Drosophila melanogaster: one gene and its partners. The gene in region 1 interacts genetically with each later gene. Each region holds a gene or a part of one and is shown in the gene's direction. Other genes may lie near its edges. The genes, in order: Galphaq, Plc21C and Syt1.

The links.
Region 2: of Galphaq (region 1) and Plc21C, changing one enhances a phenotype caused by changing the other (phenotypic enhancement), as found in Drosophila melanogaster (one study listed by BioGRID).
Region 3: of Galphaq (region 1) and Syt1, changing one suppresses a phenotype caused by changing the other (phenotypic suppression), as found in Drosophila melanogaster (one study listed by BioGRID).

The regions. Positions count from the first base shown.
Region 1 is NT_033778.4:12,610,740-12,618,672, forward strand, and holds the start of Galphaq (G protein alpha subunit q), read left to right. Parts: upstream 1-2,000; 5' UTR 2,001-2,107; coding exon of another isoform or gene 2,108-2,112; exon of another isoform or gene 2,113-2,140; coding exon of another isoform or gene 2,141-2,145; intron 2,146-2,827; coding exon of another isoform or gene 2,828-2,918; exon of another isoform or gene 2,919-3,606; intron 3,607-5,047; exon of another isoform or gene 5,048-5,090; intron 5,091-5,167; 5' UTR 5,168-5,557; coding exon 5,558-5,675; intron 5,676-5,800; coding exon 5,801-5,985; intron 5,986-6,047; coding exon 6,048-6,202; intron 6,203-6,332; coding exon 6,333-6,461; intron 6,462-6,716; coding exon 6,717-6,845; intron 6,846-7,055; coding exon 7,056-7,185; intron 7,186-7,247; coding exon 7,248-7,401; intron 7,402-7,464; coding exon of another isoform or gene 7,465-7,572; intron 7,573-7,703; coding exon 7,704-7,811; intron 7,812-7,933. Other genes in the region: Amph (amphiphysin), read left to right, coding at 270-350; CG45086 (uncharacterized protein), read left to right, coding at 2,108-2,112, 2,828-2,918.
Region 2 is NT_033779.5:306,988-314,920, forward strand, and holds the start of Plc21C (phospholipase C at 21C), read left to right. Parts: upstream 1-3,212; 5' UTR 3,213-3,618; intron 3,619-7,933. UniProt on the Drosophila melanogaster protein: The production of the second messenger molecules diacylglycerol (DAG) and inositol 1,4,5-trisphosphate (IP3) is mediated by activated phosphatidylinositol-specific phospholipase C enzymes.
Region 3 is NT_033779.5:2,795,081-2,803,013, reverse strand, and holds the start of Syt1 (synaptotagmin 1), read left to right. Parts: upstream 1-3,034; 5' UTR 3,035-3,105; intron 3,106-4,177; 5' UTR 4,178-4,528; intron 4,529-4,692; exon of another isoform or gene 4,693-5,182; intron 5,183-7,469; exon of another isoform or gene 7,470-7,525; intron 7,526-7,933. UniProt on the Drosophila melanogaster protein: May have a regulatory role in the membrane interactions during trafficking of synaptic vesicles at the active zone of the synapse. It binds acidic phospholipids with a specificity that requires the presence of both an acidic head group and a diacyl backbone.

The DNA.
Region 1 (7,933 bases):
GGTTGGCTTACCCTTTGCAGATGATGTAATTATATAACTTCAAGCTACTTTCAATGTTAATGGGATTGTCTGTCCTCATTTCCATAAAATTCCATCAATTTAAGTAAGCTAAACTTGTTAGATTCTATCATTTGCAAGGGTATAACTTCGGAATCCGGAGATACACATTCCTTTGAGCTTTGCACGCGCTAGTTTCCCCCTCCGCGCCAAATGCAGATCTCAGCACTTCCTGTCTATATTGAGTTCAGTTCTTTATTGCCAATTTACAGGAGGAAGGCTGGCTGATGGGTCAGAAGGAGGGCACCAACGAGAAGGGACTCTTCCCCGCCAACTTCACGCGTCCCATCTGAAGCGACAAACTGGGGAACAACTGGGCTAGCAACGAACCATCAGCAACTTCAGATCAACCATAAAAATCTTTACGAACGGAGGTCCAAATCCAAATACAAACTTTTGGCCAAATTTTCTTTGTGAGCGCTGCTTTTGCTTTTGTCCAATTAATAAATTCTTGTTTTGTGAAATGTATTCGGTAACTGGCAATCCATTTATAGCGATTGTTCGTTAGGGCAGTGCTTCCAACCATAAAATTGTTATTGTTAACACAAAGAAGAACGAACACACAGATGAGGAATGAGAGAGAGAATATTTTGAAAATGTTTCAAACATTATTTTTTAGTTCTAAGTTTCAAGAAAACCTAAAGCATAAACCTACGTATACATATATTATTTGTTAATCCTATTATTGTGCTCATAATTAATGCGAACAAAACGTATCTAATTTGTAATTTGTTAATGGCAAACCACAAATGTAAAACATATCACTCGAGAGCTAGAGTAATTGTTAAACAAATCAAAAGTCGGAGGAGATAGCCAGCCTGAACCTTTTGTATTTTGTGAATTTTGCAAATATGTAGTACGAGTTTTTTATAGTCAATTGAATGTATTTTTGGGGCGATGCAAAAAGGCCAGATGTAATTCCTCTGTGGTCCCCGAAGTTTTGGAAATTGTTTCAAGTAACAACATTAACGTTTAGCGATTACGTGTATCTTTAATTTGTACTTTGGTTTTTAATTTTTCGTTTGAGAGACTCGAACTAGCTACAGCTTTATAACGCGAACACAATCCAATAGTCACTAACCGATCGATTCGATGTTTTTATTTTATTTAACTCGATTGTAAATCACACGAAACCCGAAATAATTGTTTAAATTGTGCACACACTGTAAAGTTATTATTTTAATTTTATTTAATTAATTTAAACACTTATTTATCGCATGAACATATTGAACAAATGATAATAATTTACAGAAAGCCAATAAAACATAGATTAAATAATACAAGTCTTTTGATTTGGCGGGCAATGTCTTCTGATTTCGAAGATAGAAAGTGCTTGTAAATTTGACGATTGACCGGCGTTTTACGATATTCGCATTTTTTATGTTCTAAATGGTAATTATACACACATATATTTAGTTATTTAAAATTTACGATCATAGTCATTGGTTCGGGTCACAGCTTAACGAATATGGAAGTGCATGGTAAGTGTATTCCCTGTTGTTAGAGAGTGAAAAGGACACAACATTTTCAGTCTTTCCTAAAGCTATCAGGCATTGCCATCCTGAATTATGAGAATATGGCGCACTGCCATCCTTATTTTTAAGGATGTCTGGCGTTGCCATCCTTATTTGAAGGATGTAAGGCGTTGCCAACCTTATTGCTAAGAATGTGTATTGACACACATGAATAGAAATCCGTATGGCAACACCGACATGTGTTGTGGTGGGGGTGGCAACTAAAAAATACCAAAAGTAATATATTTTCAAATTAAGCTGAACTGCCAGGAAATCCGTTTTTATTTGTTATAAACCACTTCTATTAGTTATTATGCGGCAAATAAAACTCCTTCCTTATGTAATACAATGAAGACTTTGATTTAAGAGCATCTATTCCATCATCGATATCTTGCCACCACTAGTTCAAATGCCGTCCGATTGGTTTGACCATCGATATCGACGAACGATAGGGCCGATAGGTTCGGACAAATAACGCCTCCTGCTATCGAAAGTCGGGTCGTGCGTCAACGTTAGCGAAAAATGCAAAATTAAATATGTTGTGAGTAGCGAGCGATGCCAAATCGAATATGTTGTGAGTTTCGAGCAAGATCCCCGTCAAACGGACTCCCCGCCAGCCAGCGGTCGCCATCCGCAGCCGCCTGGCAGCCACCCGAAAAAGTCCCCCCCTCGACAAAAAAAAAATTTAGCAGCACCGAAAACGTTCCCCGAAATGCCAGTGTAAAGTGTATTTTTTCGCCAAACAGTGCTGGCCATTAAGCAAGGCCCCCCCATAATTGTTAAACAAACGGCGAATCGAATCGCGAAATCTTCGAATCGCATTGCTATCAAAATTTTTTCGTTTCGTTAACGCCCTCGCTTATATTTGTGTGTATTCGTTCGTAAAGCAGTGCGCAGCAAGTCGCACTGCTTGCCCGAGAAAAACACTGCGAATAGGAAAAAAGTTGAGAAATTTAAAAAAGAAATAGTTTGTTTAACTCAATGTGGTTTTCTTTTGCCACTAAACGGTGCATGCCAGCGAGAAGTTAGTTGGGGTCGCGTAACTACATAGTGGATTGTGCATATTTTTGGGCTTAAAACGGGTGGGCTAACCAAAAAATGAAAAAAAAAATGGTAGCTGAGGGTCGTGTGTGTTTACCTTAGCCAGTATGATGATGATTTTCCGGAATGCATATTCCCACCTTACCACCCATAATACCACCCCCCCCCCCCATCGTTCTTCTCCTTATCTCTCTGTCTCTCTTCTTTACTTGCAGTTCCACTGCATACAGAAAAATAAACAAATACAAGAAGCATAAAATATGCAGAAAATTAAATACAAAAGGAGCCACTAAGTGTTTCGTGTGAAATCAATTTGAAGACCGCTCGTCGTCGTCGTTGTCGTCGTACATACTTTTCCGTTTCAATTACACTACAATGAATATTTGTTGAAACTTCGTTGCATTTACAGACTGGTGTTTAAAAACAACAACAACAAGAAGAAACGTTAAAAACCAAGAACAACAACAACAACAGCACTCATACACACCGAAAACTAGAAGCAAAAAGGGAAAATTATATATAGATATATATCTACATATATAAATAGTATCGTATCACACATTTACATTAAAAGGAAGCCGAACAGACGTTATCGTAACTTTTATATTAAAAAGCACCAGTAAAAAATATATAACCAACTACACACGTTCCTTAAAAACAAATGTTTTCCAAACCGCAAACCAACTAAAAACGAAATGCTTTTGAAATTAGTTTAAGCTAACTAAAAAACGTAAGACCAACCAACGCACCGCAAAGCAAATCGCGTGATTAAACTAAAAATATTTAAAACAGACCGAACATCGGCAGGGAACCAAAAACAAAAATTAAAAGAACACGATCAATCCGGAAGAACTTCAATCGGCGTACTAAAACCCGAAATTCAATATTTTTTGTATAACATAGTGGTAGCTAAAACAAATCGAGACGATAACCGGAACATCTTTTTGGAGAATCTCGTCTGAATACCTTTAGTCCCGTGTCTCCGTAATGTTAAGTAAGTAATACTGAATGCTCATTGAATACAAGAATCGTAATTTCGTGGTTAATTTTTGACTCCGACCACTTGTTGGTTGCCACTAAAAACTGGCCGAAATATATTATAATCCAAAAATCGAATTATTCTCCAGGCGAGTTTAATGGATTGTCATCCATCTTATTCAAATCCATTCGAATATATTTATTTTGTGTAAAAGCCATGCTTTCATCATAATGAAAGGGTACTTTTGTATCTAAAATATGAGCTCATAAATTCTCCAGCAAAAATAGGCTGAGGATGCGATAAGGAACTGCATGAGTAACGTGAAGCTATTTCCGGCTTAGAAATGGTTTTTCGGAAATGGGTTGCATTAGAACAGTGATTTTCAGAAGAGCAGTAGTCGTCTAAAGATTAAGAAGTCAAATCAAACGTTATCTCAGAGTGGTTTATCATCAGCATATACAATATGTAAGGCAGATAAGACCAGTTCGCGGTAGGTAAATCTCCCTCTGATTTGGTGGCATGATATATCTGGCAAACTATTGTTAAAAAACGCTTCATTGCGCCAATTGCGTGCCCCTGCCCCTGAATTTTGCTGCCACTGCTAATTCGATTTTGTGGCTTTGCTCAGCGAGCAATGTGTTCCGAGTGCAGCCCACTAATCCTCCCGAATACTATGCGTCTAGCCATCATTATCCAGATCTCCATATTCGCCCACCTGAGCCCGCCAAATTCTCCTGGTCAGACTTTTGTCAAAATTATTGCTAGGTATTCCATCGATATTTGGTAGTGGTCATGCTGAAAGCCTTACCTCGACCCATGTCAATGTGTTCGCCAAACGAAATTGGATTAGCCATCACTCGATATATAAACTAGGGGTTGGAAAAGAGAGGAAATAGCACCAGTGGTTATAGGCTATATTCTATAGGCATGCCCTATGCTGAACCCATGAATGAACCGCGGATTCGGGTGGACTCATATCTTTTAACGATAAAAGTACATTAAGAGTTTTAAAGTTTATGCAATGATATTCCAGTTTTGTGTATAGAGCTGTGTTTTTGCATCATAAGTTTCGGTATGTGACTTTTTTATTTCCGAATTAGAATGATATGCCAATTCTTCTTATCCATAGACTGCTTGGTCCACCCAATAGGAGAACACTCTCGCTAACTTGTGGCCAGCGAAGCCATATATTTTCCAAAATCAGCTTTCTTGCATTGAACTTGGCTGAGGGGCATTGTGGGGAACGCTTCCTCAATCTATTGCCACCTGGTAGAGGGCGATCCCAGGTCTGCGCAGAGAGAGCAGGCCCAGAACTTAGAACCAAAGCCAATGCCATGGTCAGAGGAAGTCCCGGGGTAGTCATGGGTAGCCATGGGCAATCTATATCCGACGTCGTCATCGACGTCGCCAGCTAGTGGGGCAGGCTAGCAAATATGAAATGTTAATTGTCAGCACGGGACACAACGCGGCGAACTCTCGTTGGGCCAACAACTGTGGTGGTCCGTAGCAGCAATAGTTGGATAGATCCTACAGTTCGGTTATGCAAGCACTAAATCAAAGCTTTGTCTCCTTGCAGATGTTCTTGGATCGTTCGATGTGGTCTTTGTTCATTAGTAACCATCACTCTCAGCCTCCGAGTCACCGAAATCTGGTCAAGAACTTAGCGTAGACCCGTAATTAGCAATAGCAATAGCCAAAGAGAGCCTGGATCGTAAGCGCTGGAGGAGGTCTGCAGAGCGAGCAAAGCCGAAGTACAAATGCACCAATCGAAACTACAACAGAATCTATAACTTGGAACGGGTGAATTCAACGCCCGCCATACAACCAATTAGCTAGGTGTCCGAGGGTCCAGAGAAGGGAGTCCAGGAGACCATCCCACCATCCAAACAGCATACATTTTATATACGGAACGGTCTGTCGAGCGTAGTGGCAGCAGCACGCGAAAGCGTCTATAAATCTAGTTAGCATGGAGTGCTGTTTATCGGAGGAGGCCAAGGAACAAAAGCGCATCAATCAGGAAATCGAGAAGCAGTTGCGCCGGGACAAGAGAGATGCGCGCCGCGAGCTTAAACTGCTACTACTGGGTAAGTGGAGCATGGCCCATTTCGATTGCACTTAGCCTGGCTTAATGCAATTGAAGCCGCCTCGCTAATTGCATTGTTTGCCCGCCGCTTATGGCTATATATATTTTCCAATCCTATATCCCCAGGCACTGGCGAGTCCGGGAAGTCCACATTCATCAAACAGATGCGTATTATCCACGGCAGCGGTTACTCGGACGAGGACAAGCGTGGGTACATCAAGCTGGTTTTTCAGAACATATTCATGGCCATGCAGTCAATGATCAAGGCCATGGATATGCTGAAGATTTCCTACGGCCAGGGAGAGCATAGTGTAAGTGAAACATTGATCTAATTGAAGTCACTGAATCTTAAACAACATCTTACGATCCACAGGAACTGGCCGATCTGGTGATGAGCATCGATTATGAGACCGTTACCACGTTCGAGGATCCATACTTGAATGCCATCAAAACGCTTTGGGACGATGCTGGCATCCAGGAGTGCTATGATCGTCGTAGGGAATATCAGCTGACTGATTCAGCCAAATAGTAAGTTAACCGTTGGCATGCAAAGGGAACGGTTTAAATCCGTCCGCAAAATGACCGAAAAACGAACTGAAGAGACTGAAACTACCGAAACGACTATGCAAACTAAATCAATTATCTTGTCTATGTATAGTTATCTGAAGGATCTCGATCGTGTGGCTCAACCTGCATATTTACCCACTGAGCAAGACATTTTAAGAGTTCGTGTGCCCACAACAGGGATAATTGAGTATCCCTTTGATTTAGAAGAAATCAGATTTAGGTACATACCATCTTTCTACCCTTACTTCGTTGCATGTGCATGACCTCTTGTTTGGTTATGGTTAAAATTTATTTTGTACTTTGTAACTACACACTTAAGAATTTCTTTAGCGCATGTCTCTTCAAGCAAACAATTCAGGGACTTAGTTAGGGCCTTCAGCGAAATTGATGGACTGAGACGGGTTGCAAAACTATTTTTGCCACTGCTTTTGGTTCCGTTCATTGTTTTAAAAGTGTATTAATTTATCTAATTTAGCTACTTGAGCGATCTAGCTCGAATTGAACAGGCTGATTACTTGCCAACCGAGCAGGATATTCTGCGTGCTCGAGTGCCGACAACTGGCATTCTTGAGTATCCATTCGATTTGGATGGCATTGTGTTTAGGTATCTATTAAAAATATCAATTGGTAATTACCGGCAAGGCTAGTAATGTAAATGGTCATTGTAAAGCTAGTGAAGACGATTTCTTACAATTTAGTTACTAATAGATTCGTTGCTTGCGCTCTAGAATTAAATGCTTGTATGTTTGGCCTTATATGTAGTTAATTTGTTGGTTAACTTTTCTTACAATAATATATTTTTCTTAATAAACAGAATGGTAGACGTCGGTGGTCAGCGATCCGAGAGAAGAAAGTGGATTCATTGCTTTGAGAATGTGACATCAATTATATTTTTGGTAGCGCTATCGGAGTACGATCAAATCTTGTTTGAATCTGATAATGAGGTATGATTTCAAGTTATGAATATATTTTTTTTAAACAAATAATCACCTGTACGCTTTCACAGAATCGAATGGAGGAATCTAAAGCTTTATTTCGTACTATAATTACATACCCTTGGTTTCAAAATTCGTCAGTTATTCTTTTCCTGAATAAGAAGGACTTGTTGGAAGAGAAAATAATGTATTCGCATTTGGTAGACTATTTTCCTGAATACGATGGTAAGTGTTCCGCATGATAAAGGTGGCCATAATTATGTACGATTTTATGCGGCAATGAACCAGGTCCAAAACAGGATCACGCTGCGGCCAAACAGTTCGTTCTGAAAAAGTACTTGGCCTGCAATCCAGATCCCGAACGTCAATGCTATTCGCATTTCACAACGGCCACAGGTGGATTTTCACCTTATGTACTTAAGATCTATGTAATTGCCTTAAATCGCCAATATCATCCGTAGATTATTTGCTAGTTTTCGTAGAACCACGCTAGACGTAACTTCATATTCGCCTTCTTATCGAAACAGGTCCTCAGCGAGATGCAATAACGGCCCGAGAGTTTATACTGCGAATGTTTGTAGATTTAAATCCAGATTCCGAAAAAATTATCTATTCTCATTTCACGTGTGCTACAGGTAAGTTTGCTGCCAGTTCTGTGTTTGGTCAGAAATTGTGTGTGGATGTGATTTTAGTTTTCAGCCTAAAAAGGACTGGTCAAAAGGTAAACTTTTGTGTGAAAAACATTTACATTTGCATA
Region 2 (7,933 bases), on another chromosome or scaffold:
CATCCATGGCTTCAAACTGCATACGCAGTTGTATGGAATAATTTGACTCTGTTTCCTACCACAATACTTTCCCGGCTTGCCATATGCTCCATAATGTCGTTCTACCATAATGCTCTCATTATCTTGCCGTATATTTGCTGCCTCTTCCACTTCAATTGGCCCACTCCCCAAACTCCTCCCCGTCCGCCACTCACCCTCCAAGAATAACAACAACCAAAACAGAACAAGCAAAACATGTTGTAAATTATTTTTGTGTGCCGCACCCAGGCGCCATTAAAAAGCCGAAAGGAAATTTGGGAACTTGTGCTTGATGGGGAGGGTGGTAGGAGGGGTAGGGAGTGTGCGGTGAATACAAGTGTATAAAAGTGGCAGCACATATCGCACATAACTTTAATTACAATAACCACGCGTCATTGTGATGAGGGAGAGAGCGGGAAAGCAGTGGGGGCCAAACCCCTGGAAACCCCCCCCCCCTCTTGCTCATTCTTTTTTCAGCCACGCGTAGCTGAAAACATACCACCGCACCCCAACCCACCACCACCAATCGACAACCTTTCACCTGCCCACTCAGCGCAGAGCGCTCAACGCTCTATAAATAAATCTCATTAATAAATTAAACGTTTTAGCGCAGGAAATTCCTTCTCCAGCATCCACAACTTAACCCCAAACCAGAGCACCCTGCATTATTTTATAATTTCTTCTGGGGAGACGCTCGTGCTCGCAAACAGATCCGAAAAATAACCAGACTATACCCGATTCGATTCGATCCGATATGACGACGTCATCATGGCTTTATAAATAAATCAAGTGCGAATTTTTGAAAAGTTCTTCTCTGTTTGTTGCATTTGGCAAACACAGAGTCTGCCCGATATTTTTATTACGAATCAGTAGAATGTTCATTTCCCTTCGTTGCCAGTTTGCAATTGTTTTTCTTCGCTGGGTTGCTTGTCTTCCATTATTAAATTGCCTAAGGAAAGGTGAAACACCACCAGACTGATAAATAGACTCGATTATGGGGAATTATCATGAAAATACCATTATGTATGTTATTTGTTTTCAAATTCCCGGCCCTATGCAAATTCTGAAGTATGTAAGTGGAACATGAATAAAAAAATTACGGTCTTGCGGTTCGTTTATGATATGGGTCACACTGTACTGGTAAAGTTATCCATTATAAGTTGGTCTTTAATGTGGTTATCCGGAGGGGAATCCCCGTTCTGGAAAACTTCTTAGTTTTTCGTTATGATGTGCCTTAAAAGAGCTGCCGTGTTTATTGTGGCTTGGCTTTCCGAAAAGTTTAATTTAGTTACATTCGTCTGGGAACTCATGACCTTTGTAAACAAACAGACTGGCAGATAAAACACCTGTAAATCCCCACTTCAAAGCAGCACCACCACCCACAACAACAATGCCAGCAGCACCACCCACTCACAGTGGGCGCAACGTGAGGAAAGGCGGCGTGAGTTGGGACCGCTCGATTCCCACCGGATGTTAATGTTTTATTTGGATTTCAAATTTTCTGTTCGCTGTTTTTAATGCACGCTGATTTGTTTGGAAGAAAATAAACAATTTTGAAATTTATTTAGTTGGGGATCTAGGGATCGCTTGGTATGGAATGCCATGTGATCCCATGTGCGGCTGCTCTTTCGCATTTTATAGCCGAATAAATATGCAATGAGAATTGCTAGTTGCCATAAGTAGTTCGAGTTTATGACTGCTTGTCGATCCTATGGCCGAGCTCGTTCCCCACTGGGATGGGGGATGTTTGGTGACCCCGATGGGTGGTCGTGAGTCACGCCCGCAGCTTTCGTTCGGCACCCAATATTTGCATATCTTTTGTAGTCCACCTAGTGACCTTGGGGACGCCGAGCCGCAATCAATCAAGCGTACAAAACAGAGGGTGGAGGGGGAGGGGGAGCATCTTGCAACTGTCGCCGCTGTGGAGTCCCAATACACGGATACGGAGACGGAGACAGATACAGATACAGATGCAGAAGAATTTGTCTCACCTTGTCAATCACTTTTTGGAGGGCAAAAGCAGAAGTCGTGGAAAGGGTGGAAGGAAACTGAGGAGAACCACCAACGAAATATGTGGGTCAGGTCTTCAATGTTTTCCCGCATATTGGATGTCATCTTTCCCGCTGCCCCTCGGCGCTGACATATTTTCCGACTTTTTGGCCGATCTCTGATTTCCTATTTCGCGTTAATATTTTCGTATTTTCATACCCTATAGCATCCGTCAGTCGGGGGATATAGGTGTAGAATCTCTTTTAATTCGCAGACTACGTATGAATTTAATGATCTATTTTTTACATTTTTGTTATGTCACAAAAGGTTTTCCTACGCTTGGGCATAAAAAAGTTCTTACCTAACTAAGTCACAGGCATTGTGATGCATGAACAAAGTCGAAACATGGGCGGAACATCACGTTATGCGATGTAGAGCACTCGTTGAGCGAGGGTATTGGAACAGTCAGAACCCATATATCTGGGCTTCCTCTTCTCGACGGTTTTTGTTCCTCTATTTTTTTGTGGCACATGCGCGCGTTCCGAGACCGGACGATTTGACGCTGTACTCACGTACGGCGTATGTCGGGGCATTAAAATTAAATAAATATATATATATATTCCCGGCTGCAATGGGTAGCGGCAGACAAAACCAAAACTCAAATTCAAATTCAAATCGAGGCGAGGCGAGGCCCACTCAACAACGCCCAAATTGGCAATTTTAATTTGATTTTCTGGCCGTTTCAACCGCTGATTAGGCGATGCGATGTGACGGCGCTGTCCAAGTAAACATTCCGTTCCCCGAGTTCCACCGAAGGTTTTGCCAAACTATTCAGCAACTATTATCAATTCTGGTTCGCCAAGGGGGTTTGCGTTTGCCTGGCATTGTCGGTTCAAGCCTCATTGTTGCCGGACTGGCTTGTTTATTTGAAAATTATTCCCCGCTTGACATAACCCCACCCCTCGCACCTTGCAACCTCTAAAAGGAGGGTTCCCACAGGGGGGGGACCGTTCTCCCGTTATCAAAACATGAACATTTCGCCGCAAACGCTTTTCCCAAAACAAAAACAAAACCTGGCAACGCAGAGAGAAAGCTTCTCAAACAGAGAGAGGTTCTCAGGGAGAAACCGAGAAAATGCCAGAGAAGTGTGTAACATGGTAAAAGCTCGCGGCGAAATGTGCGAGACTGAGAAGCTTCAGCTCTCTCGTTTTTGCATTTCAGCAGCATTGAGATTTCCACATAGATTTTCCCAACAGACATTCGTCGTTCGCCGAAGCGTTCGGTCGTATTAGCGGAAGATTTTGGCCCGAAAACCCGCCCGAGATTTTCTCCGGAGGAACCCTCTCCGGGTCCCCAGAATCCGTATCCGTATCTGCAGCAGCCGAGTGCGTGTGTGTTTCTCCGTATCTGTGCGTTGTGACTAAGCCGACAGTTAAAAACTATAGCTAAACTAAAATAGGAGAGCGAATCCAATAAAAAATCCCATTACCACCGGAGAGGTTATCTTCGTTTGCCAGCGGGTGCAAAATCTGAAATTGAAATTTCGCTGCTTACGAAATACAAATTCCACTCAACGAAGTTTTCATCTGAAAGTCAAAAACTTTGGCACAGGTAACGCACCGAACAGAACCTTTTCACTCTGCGGATTTATCAGGGAGTTGAGTTTTGAGGGCGGAGGAAAACGATTCTCGAGTTCAGCACCGCACACACAAAATTAAATTAAAATACAATCTCATTCAGTTTATTTGTTCAGCATCGTTTTCTTTCACGGCTGCCTAATTGAAAATTGTGCTGAAAAATGCTGTTGCCCCCTTCTCCCCATCGTGCGTCTGCCGTTATAGGCAAACTGGTCGATTTCTATTCGAGCTACGCCAAATTATTTGTTGTGCCTCGCTTCCATTCTCGTTCCTTTTCAAGTTTAAATATTTCGCTTTTGATTTGGAAAACTTGAAAGATCTCTGTCGATAGCCAAGCTAGTGATCTGTCGCGGGGACGAAAGGCGTTTGTCAATGATTTTGCGGCGCTGCCGCTGTTGCCTTGCCATTGCCAGTTGTACTTGAACTCGTACCGAGCGCGTGGCGTGGCGTGGCGCGTATCTCGAAATCTTTGAGATACTGCTGGCTTGGAAATCCGAGAACGGGGCAGATAACGCTTCACTGGGTGGCTCGTGAATCACGCAAAGCCAGCTTTTGATTTGAGATCTCCCAACGATACGTGGCCTTTAGGACATTAAATACGTTTGGAAAACTAAAAAAAACCAAACCAGTTATTGCAATGGGTATTGGCCAGTCAGAGGTGGATATAGGTTCTTCACAGTTTTATGTTATAAGTAAGAAATACCATACCATAGTGTAACCTAAAAGGTATAACATTCATCTATACTGAAAAAGTCAATTTTATTAGCAATTAGCAACCATTCAATTTTGGAGCGCCTCGTCGCCCAATTGAAAGGGGAATCGTTGGAGAACCCCGATTCGAGCTTGTTATCAGGTTATGGCCAATCTGTGCGATGAATTCGAAGCGGGAAGCTGCAAAAAGCTAATGAGTAGCGCATCAGATATCACATCAGCTCCTGGTGCCAATTAGCGAAACGCTTTAAGTTGCCAGCTCTCTGTGTCTTCGCCTTCTTGCTATTCCGCTTCCATTTTGCAGCATCCACTTGTGTGTTCAGTTAGGTCCTGTTTCAGTTGCCACTCGAGGCATTTATCAAGTTGAGGCATCAGCTGCACCACTGATATGCAATTATCCCACTTGATTGCTGCACCACGCCCCTTTGTCTCCCTCGGCCTCCATTTCAAAGGCAGCTAGTTTCAATCATTCAAACACAATTAAGGCATTAAAGGACACAAGCGCCAGAAAGGACAATTAGTCTGCGTGGGTGAGTGTTTGGCTAATTATGCTGACATGGCCATGCCTCTGCTCCTGCTTCACTTCCACTCGGTTTTCCATTTTCCATTCTATCTTCATTCTCTACCCGCCTCATCCGATTCACCACTTGAGGCTGCTCATTAATTATTTAGCAGCCGCCAACGCGAGAATACAAAACTGAATAAAAGTCGCGCATACGCAACGTAGGTCACTGGGAAAATTAAACAACTATCGTACGTATGGACGTACACTGGAAAAAGGTTGTTTGCATACTGGCAAGACCTCGATTGTCAAAATAGTTCTGTATCCCTTTCTTCTGAAAAACGCATATAGTGGTTTTAAGGATATGTAAAGTATGGAACTTTTTTGAATATGCAAACCTAATACAAAAAGGTGAATAAATGATTTCCCTAGTCCTATAAATGTACGTAGTATTGCTCTAGGTGTATACAGTGTATACATTTCCATTTGAGTCCAGGCTTGTGTATCTTAAAACGAACCTGTTGTTAAATCCATGTAACTTAACCTGACCAACAATGTTGGAGCGCGACTTTCTCGCTGTGTGGCACCCATTTGGTTGCTCCTGGTGATAGACCATTGCACAGCGATCTATCATTATAATGAAGCGTCAAATCTAATACGTCGGACAATCCGGTCGACATGGGTGGGGGTGTGGTGTGTGTGGGGGGTTCCTACTCCTGCTCTCTCTCTGCTTCTGCTGATACTGCTCTGTCCCCAGACTGATAACGTTGACAAACTAGATAAAAGGGCGATAAAAATGGAAAAGAGAAGCAGACATATACGGAAGTGTTAAATTTAAAACAATAGACTAAGTGAAAACGTTACTCAGAAATTAAGTATTCGTTCTTATGCGATAAGCTCACCCGGATTCTAATTGTATTTCGTTTATCGAATTTACTTACTTTCAGCATCAACATTTCTCTTCAAATAGATAAAGTGTTACGCTAATCGTTGTGTTTTGAGAGTGCTTGTTGGAAAGAGTATCACAAATTCGTTTTATGCTATACCGAATTTTAATTCTTGGCGTACAAACAAAATAGAACTAAATTTGTGCGCGCAAACGTGTTTCGGGTGTGTTAGAATATATTGGAGTTTGTTTGCGGTGACACTGAAACGCGGTTTTAATTAATAATTATCATTTTCTGTCACAAATTCATTTTGTTTGCGGTGGCTTTATGTAAAATCCCACCTTCCCGCTTCTGTCGCCTATTCTTGATTATGCATGACCACAGTTGACGTGGAAAGCTGTCGTAAATTGACTGACCAACCTTGCCGCAATCAAAGCGATGGTTTGACATTAAAGTTATAGACCCGCAGAAAAGAGAAGAAGGATACATATCGAATAATTGAAGTGCCTAACAAACAAATTACCAGCCGAATGCACATAACTTAAGCAATTAATGTGTTTATTTTGGTTATCCGACGCGCAGATAGTCGAGCAATTAGCTGTAATCGGAATCCGTGGCAGTGGCAGACGATTTATGGCGGATCTGCCGGTTGTTCGGGTGGTGATGATAGTATGGTAATGAAACGAAAAACATCAGTGAATTTTATGTAGAAGCAATCCATCATGATAATGGCAGATAACATACGTGCCCTAATGTTGGGCTACCAACTGAGTTATCCTGATGTTATACTAGAATTAGGAGTGAGCTTCGAACGAAGCTTAAAAAACTCGATTCCCTATGTGCCTAAAAGTATGCTTTGGGGTCTGAACTTCCGTATTTTCACGTGCCCTCAGAAAAGCGTCCTTAGCCCAGGTTGATTTTACATTTCAACGGAGGCCAATCAAACATTGAACTCATCGACGGCGATATAAATAGAAAATTTAGACAAACAACTGCCACAGGCCAACGAATAGGGGTGCCCAAAAGTGAGGTGGGAATGAAGATTACCTCGCGTGCAATTGAAAACAATTGTTTTGTCAATATTTTCACAATTCGCCTATCGTAGGGCATTATCCATTGGGCTTGGGTAACTAATTCTAGAACACAATCAAATCGATGAAGAAATATTGGAATTATAAATTGCTCCCGAACGGTTACTTTTCGCAAGTTTTCCTTAAAAAAAAAACCCAAAAACAAAGTGTAACAAAAGTTTTCCAATTGGAGGCGCCCCCATACCCACTCAGCTGAAGGGGTATTTTGGGGGGTTTTCAAGGATCCCGAGGAAAATTCGTTGATGAAGGTTGCCAGCAAGAACAACCAGAAACAAATTGTAACTCGAATTTACGGCCGGGAGCTGTTGTTTTGGGGTGTCATTGAACTTAATTTTGTTTTTCTTTTGCTTAACCACACCCCCGTTGATTTTCCATTCTACACCCCTGCCCAACGCTTTATATTTTTATTTATTTGTGTACTTTATGCTACCGATATGAGCATGAGCGACTGCTGAGCACCCAAGGGCCGGCAAGTTGTTGACTTACACCCAGCGAACCCTCATCTCCACTCTGAGTGATGAATTTTCTGTTCGAATAAGGAAAATGGTAAGGAAAACGTGGTAGGAAAATAAGAGAAAGTCCCGCAAAGAAATTTTTCTTTTGGCGCCAAGCAATTTGGGGGGAAATCAATTCCGCAACGCTCCAAAAATCAAATCCATTTTTTCGTGGAGAATTATTTCCTTTTACGGAATAGGTAAAATTGCAATATTCAAAACGCGGTGAAAAGGGGGAAATTCGGGAAACCAAAGACTAAATAGCAAAGGTATTTCACCATACATTGACCCTTGGCCCATCCTCAGTTAATATTTGATGTTCAGTTGTCTTGTGTTGCTATGTTGTTTTTTTTTGCTGGCTTTGGTGCTTCTTTTGGAGTCATTAAAATAAACTATTTAATCAATCACTTTCAAAAAAAAAATGTTGTACCAGAAGCATATTTCCAAGAAGATATAAATCTACAACAGAGAAATACCTATGTCATGGAACTTTTTGTTTCCTTGAACCGCTCCGCTTCTAACTTGTGTGTGTATGCTAGCGTGTGTTTGTTCGTCGGTGCCTTTTCAATTTTTAATGGCTGTCAAATGCGGGCATAAACCATTT
Region 3 (7,933 bases), on another chromosome or scaffold:
TCAAGGAGATAATCGAACTGGAGCCAAAAATAATTCAACAGCTCGGACTACAAGAAGTGAAATTAATTAAAATTTTTAGCTGAATAAGGGGCCACTTAATCAGCTCGCTGGGGAAACTTTCCGTTCGCTCTGTAAGTGCGAACAAATTGATATTGAGCGTAGTAATTGCGGAGCCATGAACGGAATTGACAACTTGGACTTTGGAGCACTCGAGATGAGGCGCCTGCATCTACCCATCCCTCCATCCATCCCTTCATCCATCCATCCATCCAACCATCCATCCAGACAGACAGGCTAGACGAGATCGGGCGCAGATCGAAACTGAGCCGCGCAAGTGAATATCTTTTGGTGGGACCAAAGTCCACTTACGAGTCATGCGCCAGTCGTGTGTGAACCAAATTCGAATCTTATTTTATCGAATCGTCTCACTCAATTCACTCAATCATCTGGGCTGCACCCAAAGCAATTAGCCAAGGCGTCCGAGTGCCAAGGCGTCCACGCATGCACCTCGTGTCTGCCGGAATTTCGAGTTCCCAACCGCTCGAGATGATGAACGCGCCAACCCGTGACGTTGCTCCTCCGCCAGATGACGATGATGACGATGACGACGACGACGTCAAGTTGCCTTTGTTGTCACCTCTTTTTGCATTTGTTGAAAATAGCACAACGCTCTTTATCGCCGACTAGTGTGGCGAAGCGACCCGATCTAAAATTAGCATCCACGAATATAGCGTTTCATTTCCACTTATTTTCGAATTGATGTGGTCAGTTTTTATGGCCCCCGAGTGACACTCGAGCCAATCCGTACCACATGCCCAAAGTTTGCGGGACAGGTGCTAATGAATGGTATATCTAGATTGTATAAGAATTAGTGCTTACTTGGAAAACGGAAAGATTATTCGGGTGCGCTTTGTTTAGTTTACAATTAGAATGATATGATGACGCTATTGGTACATATTCATAAGTAACTAAGAAGCCTTGACAAATTTTGTGATTTAAACTGATAAAAAAACCAATTACACAGCATTAATGATAATTAATTTGTCAATGGTTTCTGTGGCAGATAAGCTCATTAGGCATTAACCAATCGACCTTTGTCGCACACGTTGGAATCCAAATATATTTGCCAAGAATTCGAACGCAATCTACGTGATTCATGTATTCATACAGCGAAGACAAAGTCTAAACCTGGTGAAATTATCAGCTATTTCATGTAGATTAGAAGAAGTGAGAACTTCAGTTGTGCCTATTGCACATCTGGATTGTGAGTATAAGCACTTGATAAGGTGCAAGTGCCGAATAAACCACATATGCAAAGCAAATAAAACCAATGGCCATTATAGGTGGCACGTGTAGCCTTGCCATAACCTCGACCACCAAAACGATTGATACCACACGGAATCAGAAACATAACATAGGAAAAAACCAAACATTCGCTGATTGCGAGTCTAATCGGGTGATGCAGGCGGAAAGAACACTATTTTTTGGGGGTGGGAAACTTCGCATTACCTCATCAAAGTTGCCCCAAACCAAACCAAAGCAATCATGCCAATTGCCCCAATTCAAATCGATTAGTCTCGATGACACAGCAACCCCAATAATGCAATTGCCCCACGGCCAAATCGGATCGAGCGCGTGCCGCCTCGCTTATCGCCATTTGGGAGCAAGTTCAAGTGACCACCGACCAAGAGCTGCTGCTCCCTGTCCACTTCCCACTGATAACTGATAGTGATAAGTGCGTAAGCGAGTGCGTGTTTACATTCCGCTCTTCGCTTCAATCATCAATCATCCGCGATCGATCTCGATCGATTTGAGCCCGAGGACTGGCCGTTTAATTAACTTCTTCGCTAGCGATTACCGATTGCCGTGCGAGGGTTCCCAAGATAAACGATATGGGAAATCACGAACCCCGAGTATGGCCAACCGCCTGATTGAGGCGTGAAGGTGACCAGCACTATCGAATATCGTGATTTATTTGCGCGTCGTAAAGGATTGTTAATGATTCACCCGATATAAATACATAACTCATAGGAAAGCAAGTCGATAAGTATTTCTGTTCAAAGAAGTATGATTTAAGATCGTATCTGCTTTGATTTTAGGTTACTAATAGTAACTTACTATGTATTTGTATTCCTATAGTATATTTATTCAAAACATTTAAAAATATATCCTCATTGCATGTAAAAACTCAGCTACTCTCTAGGGGGAAATCACGATTATAAACTATTTTTGTGACAAAGTATTAATTAAATTATATTTCATAATTATTGTGCTGACATGTCATTAAGATGGACTTGTCAGCCCAAAAGTAGGCACGACCTTTTAATAATGCATTTCCAAAACCAAATAAATTGCCTGGATGGATCGGATCTATTGAAAAAGATTTAATTTCACAGTCATACTATTTTGGCTTATCGTTAGATAAGTAATTTGTTTTGATTTTTTGTGAAATATACGATACAGTGCCGCCATTTACATGGCAAATCTCAGCTTTCATAGGCGAAGGAAAAATAGTACGGAAAGTGAAACTTGGCACAGAAAAGCTTTGCTCTACAGCAAATGGCAACATTGTGTGCCATTGAGACACTTCCGCCCCAGTACGCATGCACCAAAAAACATACTGCGAACAGGTTCTGAAGGAGCTTTCAACTTTACATGTGATTCCCAGTCAGATGTTTACCTCCTTTGGGAAAATCTAGAGAGAGATATAGTAGGGATTTTTGAAAATATGTATGTAAAGGTACTAGACATGAGATACTGTAGTAGTTATTCAACTCTTACTTATGAAGGATGCATTTTATGGTAGTGCCTATTTTATGATTATCCTCCTTTGCATATCATACAGACGTAGGGGCTCAGCCATGTCCAGCTGGCCTAAAGTCTTCCCCTCCGAGATTTCCGCTGCCCAAAAGCTCCCCCCACGGTGGACACCGCCCCGCTCACCCGCTGGCCGAGCGGCCAAAATCGATGCCCCAACCGGTTCGCTCTCGCGTTTTGGCGAGTGGCCCAAGCTTTTCAGCGCTGCTCCTGGAGCGTGTGGGCCAAAACGCGAATGAACATCGACCGTGGAAGTTGACTGCTGAAGTACAAAGCGCTAGGCTGAAGGTGAATGGGAAAGAAAAATTCTAGAGGCTCATAAAAAGTGGCAATGCCCATGGAAAATCATTCAAAAATGTGATGAAAAAATTATGAAAATTAAACAGAATTGGTTGAAAGCAAAGCAAAAGTGTTGAAAGTGTTTTCCAATTTGTTATATAAATGAAAAGGCCATCGAAAGCCCCGAAATGTATAGTGCGCGTGTGTATGTGTGTGTGGTGTGGGTGCGTGTATGCGACTGTGTGTGTGCGAGTGTTTAGCACGCGCTGACAAAAAAGGAGAACATTTTTTGTGTATCAGAATTTTTCGCAGCAAATGTCGAGAAAAAATGGCAGCTAAGCAAGAAAATTTTAATTGAAAATTCCAATGTGCAATGCGAAGATGAAAGAAGCGCTGAAAAATGGGCTATCATTGAAAGTGAAAACGCATGTGAGCCACTTGCGGGGATATTGATTTTTCCCACCCGACTATTGTGGTGCTGTAGGCCAGTCGAAAGCCAGGATTAAAAAGCATATCAATGTGAATTCGGAAAATCCGAATCCGCAGTCCTTCAACGCCCTATAATTAAATAATAAAAAATTAAAATTGAAATGAGATTTTTAACTATCAACTTGAAGTGTCTGAGTGCGAGAGAAAAAAGGAAAGCTCAATTCAAGCCAAAAGAGGCCCTGAAAAGGACGAAAGAAATGGCCCTAAGAAAATCTCTATCCTGAATTTGCTTTCTTCGAGGAAAAAGCGAATTTGCCAACCTCCCACTCTCTCTCTCTCTCTCTATTTTTGTCTCTCTCTGCCCACTCACCAACACGCACACACATGCTCTTTTGGGCAAGGAGACACAACACACAGACACACACACAAAGCCGAGTTCGCTCTATCAATATTTACGCACACCATTGTATTTTGCTATTACGTATACGCTGCGTATCTCTTCAACTCTCTCACTCACTCTCTCTCTATATCTCTCTCTCTCTCTCTCTTCCTCACTTTCCGCTGACATCCTTTGTACTGCAAAATATATGCAAATAAATCTAAATAAATTGAATTAATTTCAATTAATTTTATTACAAATTATCCAAAAAAGTATACGAAATTCATGTGAGACTAGCGAGCCGCGGCCTCACTAGCCAAAGCCAGTCACAAAAAACCAAAAACATAAATCAGGCAGCAGCAGCAGCACACATACATCGACAAGCGCCAGGACCCGCATCACCATATCCTTCCTGCCAAATAGTCGCCACTGCTGCCGACCCTCCCCGCTCCCCTCGCAGGAGTCACGCTTCGTTAAACGCTGCTCAAAACCCATCATCCTAACTAATAAAGCGGACGATAAACAAGCGAATTAAGTACCAAAAACGACCGAGCTATTAACGCTAGTCTGGATCCCAATTGCTGATTGGAAAGGAGAAACATTGGCAGCATTTCTGATTAGGGGGTGAGTGTTGGTATTTACAAGAACGTAGCACACTTTTTGGGGCAGTCCATAGAGTGAATGGAGAAACATACATAACTAAAGGGTTGCTGCAGCTAAAGAAAAACTAATCTCTAAGCTATCAGAGAAAATGTGATTGCTTATTATTCTAAGATACAAACATTTCCCATGGTTAACATTCATCTTGAATTATATTAATATCTAAATAATCAAGTTAATTAATAGATTCACAAAAATTTGCAGGAATTTCCTTTACCAATTAAACCCAAAAGGTCTGAAATACTTTGGGTTTATTAACTTGATTAATTGCCAGACTGCCAAATTCTCTGCCCAGTGCCACACATCACTTGTTCATCGTGTCCTTTCTTATCTTCGTCTAATAAGAACTAAACCTGATTTAGTCCTGCTCTTCGCTAATTAGCTTTGGACAGCCCGAAGTTGGGCTGGAATTCCTCGGAGGGCAGGCTATTAAGGGCATTGCCGAAGCATAGCAATAAAAATGCTGCAAACAAGCTCGGCAGGCCGCACATAATTGCCAATAATCAAGTTGGCCCGAACGGCAGCGTAATTTTGACCCTTCGCGTCGCCCGAAAATCCTTTTGTGTGAAATTCGAGAATATGAATGAATTGTTTGCACGGAGTCTATATTTGATTTTGAAAACATCGAGACGGATTGTTCAATGAAAGCGAAAAGCATAATGATGTGGAAAATTGGTTTTCTCCGCCAGGCATTCTTCTGGCCTGAGGCAATGTCGGGCTCCAACGTCTAGCTTGGATTTTCCTTCATGTTCATTTCTTTTTTTTTTTATTTCCTTTGCTATTTTCCGAGTTTTTATTTTGTTGCCTTCTCTGGGTTATGTGCGCAGTAAAGAGAGCAGAAACAGAAACAGAAAGAGAGAGAGAGAGAGAGAGCTGTGGGCATGTGTGGCTTTTCCGCTTTTCCATCCTTCCGCTCTCATAGTTTTCCACTCTCCGGCTCGCCAAAAAGTTTAACCGTTTCCCCATTCGTGAGCTTCGAGAGCCTCCTGGCCATTTTCTACGCGATTCGCCCGTATTACGTGCGTGGGTTCCACAGATGTTGCCATAGATCCGAATCCGAACCCGAATCATATTGCGAGCTCCATTTGCTCGCTGGCGGGTTTGTTTGGACCCGGTAATGGGTAATGACTGCCTGTCCAATCCATCCCATGTTAATTTGTTTTGACAGCTTGATGGTAAGACCGGTAGAAAACTCTATTTTTACTCGGGTTCTTCGTTGCTTACTCGCAGTATCCTTTTACCATTTATCTTATCGCCATGCGAACCCCGCGCTAATCTAAAATGCCCAGCCAATTGCCGTTATCTGTGCTCCACTTTTTGTCACTGCATTGCACCACCCACCGGGCCACCAACCCAGCAGCCCACGCACCCTTATCAGCTTTTTCTGCACCACCGCCCACAATTTATGAAAAAGCAGCAGACAGCTGCCTATTTATAGGTCCTTCGCCAAAGGTCAAATCGTAGCAATTATTACTAGGAAAGCACACATTCCTCTTATCGTCCCTAAATTGGAGCTCCGAACTGAGCTTTGATTAATTTAGTAGGGTCTTCGACACGAAAGTTCTGTTCATATTGAGTAAGTTCATCAAAAGTGGTAATTGAATTTTACAACGTTAAGTGGAATGCTGATTTTTGGAACTTATTAGGAGATTTCAGTGTACCTTGCTTTATTTGCTCATTTCAATTATAATACTTTTCCGAGACTGGCTTTCAAAAGCAGTACTTCCTTCATGTTTATGGCACTTTTGACAGTTACTGGAAATGTTTTGCCATCAATCGAGTGCTCAACAATGAACTCACTGACCACTCAAGCGTCTTACTACCAATAACAAATACTGGAAGCAGCTGTTTTGGCCCTAAACATAATTTACACTTTAGCACGAAACGAAGCCGTTTTGAACTGCGTAGTTTGTTATTTAGCTGCCACTTCTTGGTGCCCAGACAAGTGGGCACCGCAAAATAACCAGCACACCCATACGCCCCGTTGACCCGTGGGCAAAAAAAAAAAAAAAAACAGTGCCACGAAATGCTGGCAGAATGACAAAAGTGTGGCAACTGGCGCATACAATATTTGTGACCTTCTTGTGCCTTCCTGGAAATCACAGTAGCTGCACATCTTGTTCCTATTAATGTTAAGTTCTTTTTCTTGCGGGTTTTTCGGCCCCTTATGCCAGGAAACATAATTCAGCATGAGATTTTTTGGTGCATAAATAAAATATGAATAACAAAGTGGTCCACCTTTGGGTGATTGCCATTTTCCGGGCAACTTTCGGTAGCTAGGTGTTTCTGATTGTTGCGTCCACATTTATTATGGATGAGTCTTTCGGAGGGTAGAAAGCCCTTGTTTATCCATTTTATTTATCTGCCACTGGGCTGCAACGCAATTTGTCAGGGAATCACACGGAAATCGTGACATCTCCCAGCTTTCCACTTTTTGCTGCCACATGACTGGTTTTCCCCTTCCTCCATCTCAAGGAGTCATTTCCAGGCAGCTTCTGTGCCGCACAACTTGTCCTAGATGCATTTAAATTTATTTATTTCTCGGTAATTTTCCTTTTTGTCCTCAAGTGGCCAAGAGTCGTGGTCGCTCATTCTAAAAAGTAAAATAAGTTAGTGCATTTAAAAGTAGGACAACATTTAAAATTTATATTGATCATGTTAAAGTTATGATGTTTATCAATTGTGCACTCTTAAATAATTTACAGAGAAATTGTCTGTCTTAAGTTTAATCTTCGCGAAATACGAGATGAGCTGGCAAAAACTCATTTAAGAAAGCGATAAGCGGAGAAAAGAGACAGCTGTTTATTATTCATATGCAAAATTGGTGAAAAGTAAACAATTTCATTAAATTCGTGATAAGAACATGTATGTATATTAGTCCAGCAGCAGTACTTTTATTTAGTCGCTCTAGTTTAACTGTGAGGTATGGACATCAAATAAGTATGTGATTAAGTTATACAGGTAAAAATTATATATAAGAAATATTTCTATAATTAGTTTTCATTACTTAAGCCATGATGCATGCCTTTTTATTTGAAAAATATGTTTAGCTTAATTTTATCGATTTTAAAGATGCCTTTTTCGACCCAAAACTGAATTAAATCGCAAATTGCGTTTGCCTAGAAGGCAATTAACCCGCATAACTTAATTTCGCACATTATTCATGCAAATTGTATTGTATGTTGAGCAAACACAGAGTTTGCATCTAAATTTTCCACCCGCGTGGCATCCACAACTTTTGAATTTTAAGCATATTTATGGGGCCAAATAAACAAAGCTGCCTTCAGGCTTTTCATTTAAGCGGCTTGCCGAGTTTTTTCGAGTTTTCCGAGTTCTTTTCCATTTTCCGTTGGTGTGTGTTAGCGTGTT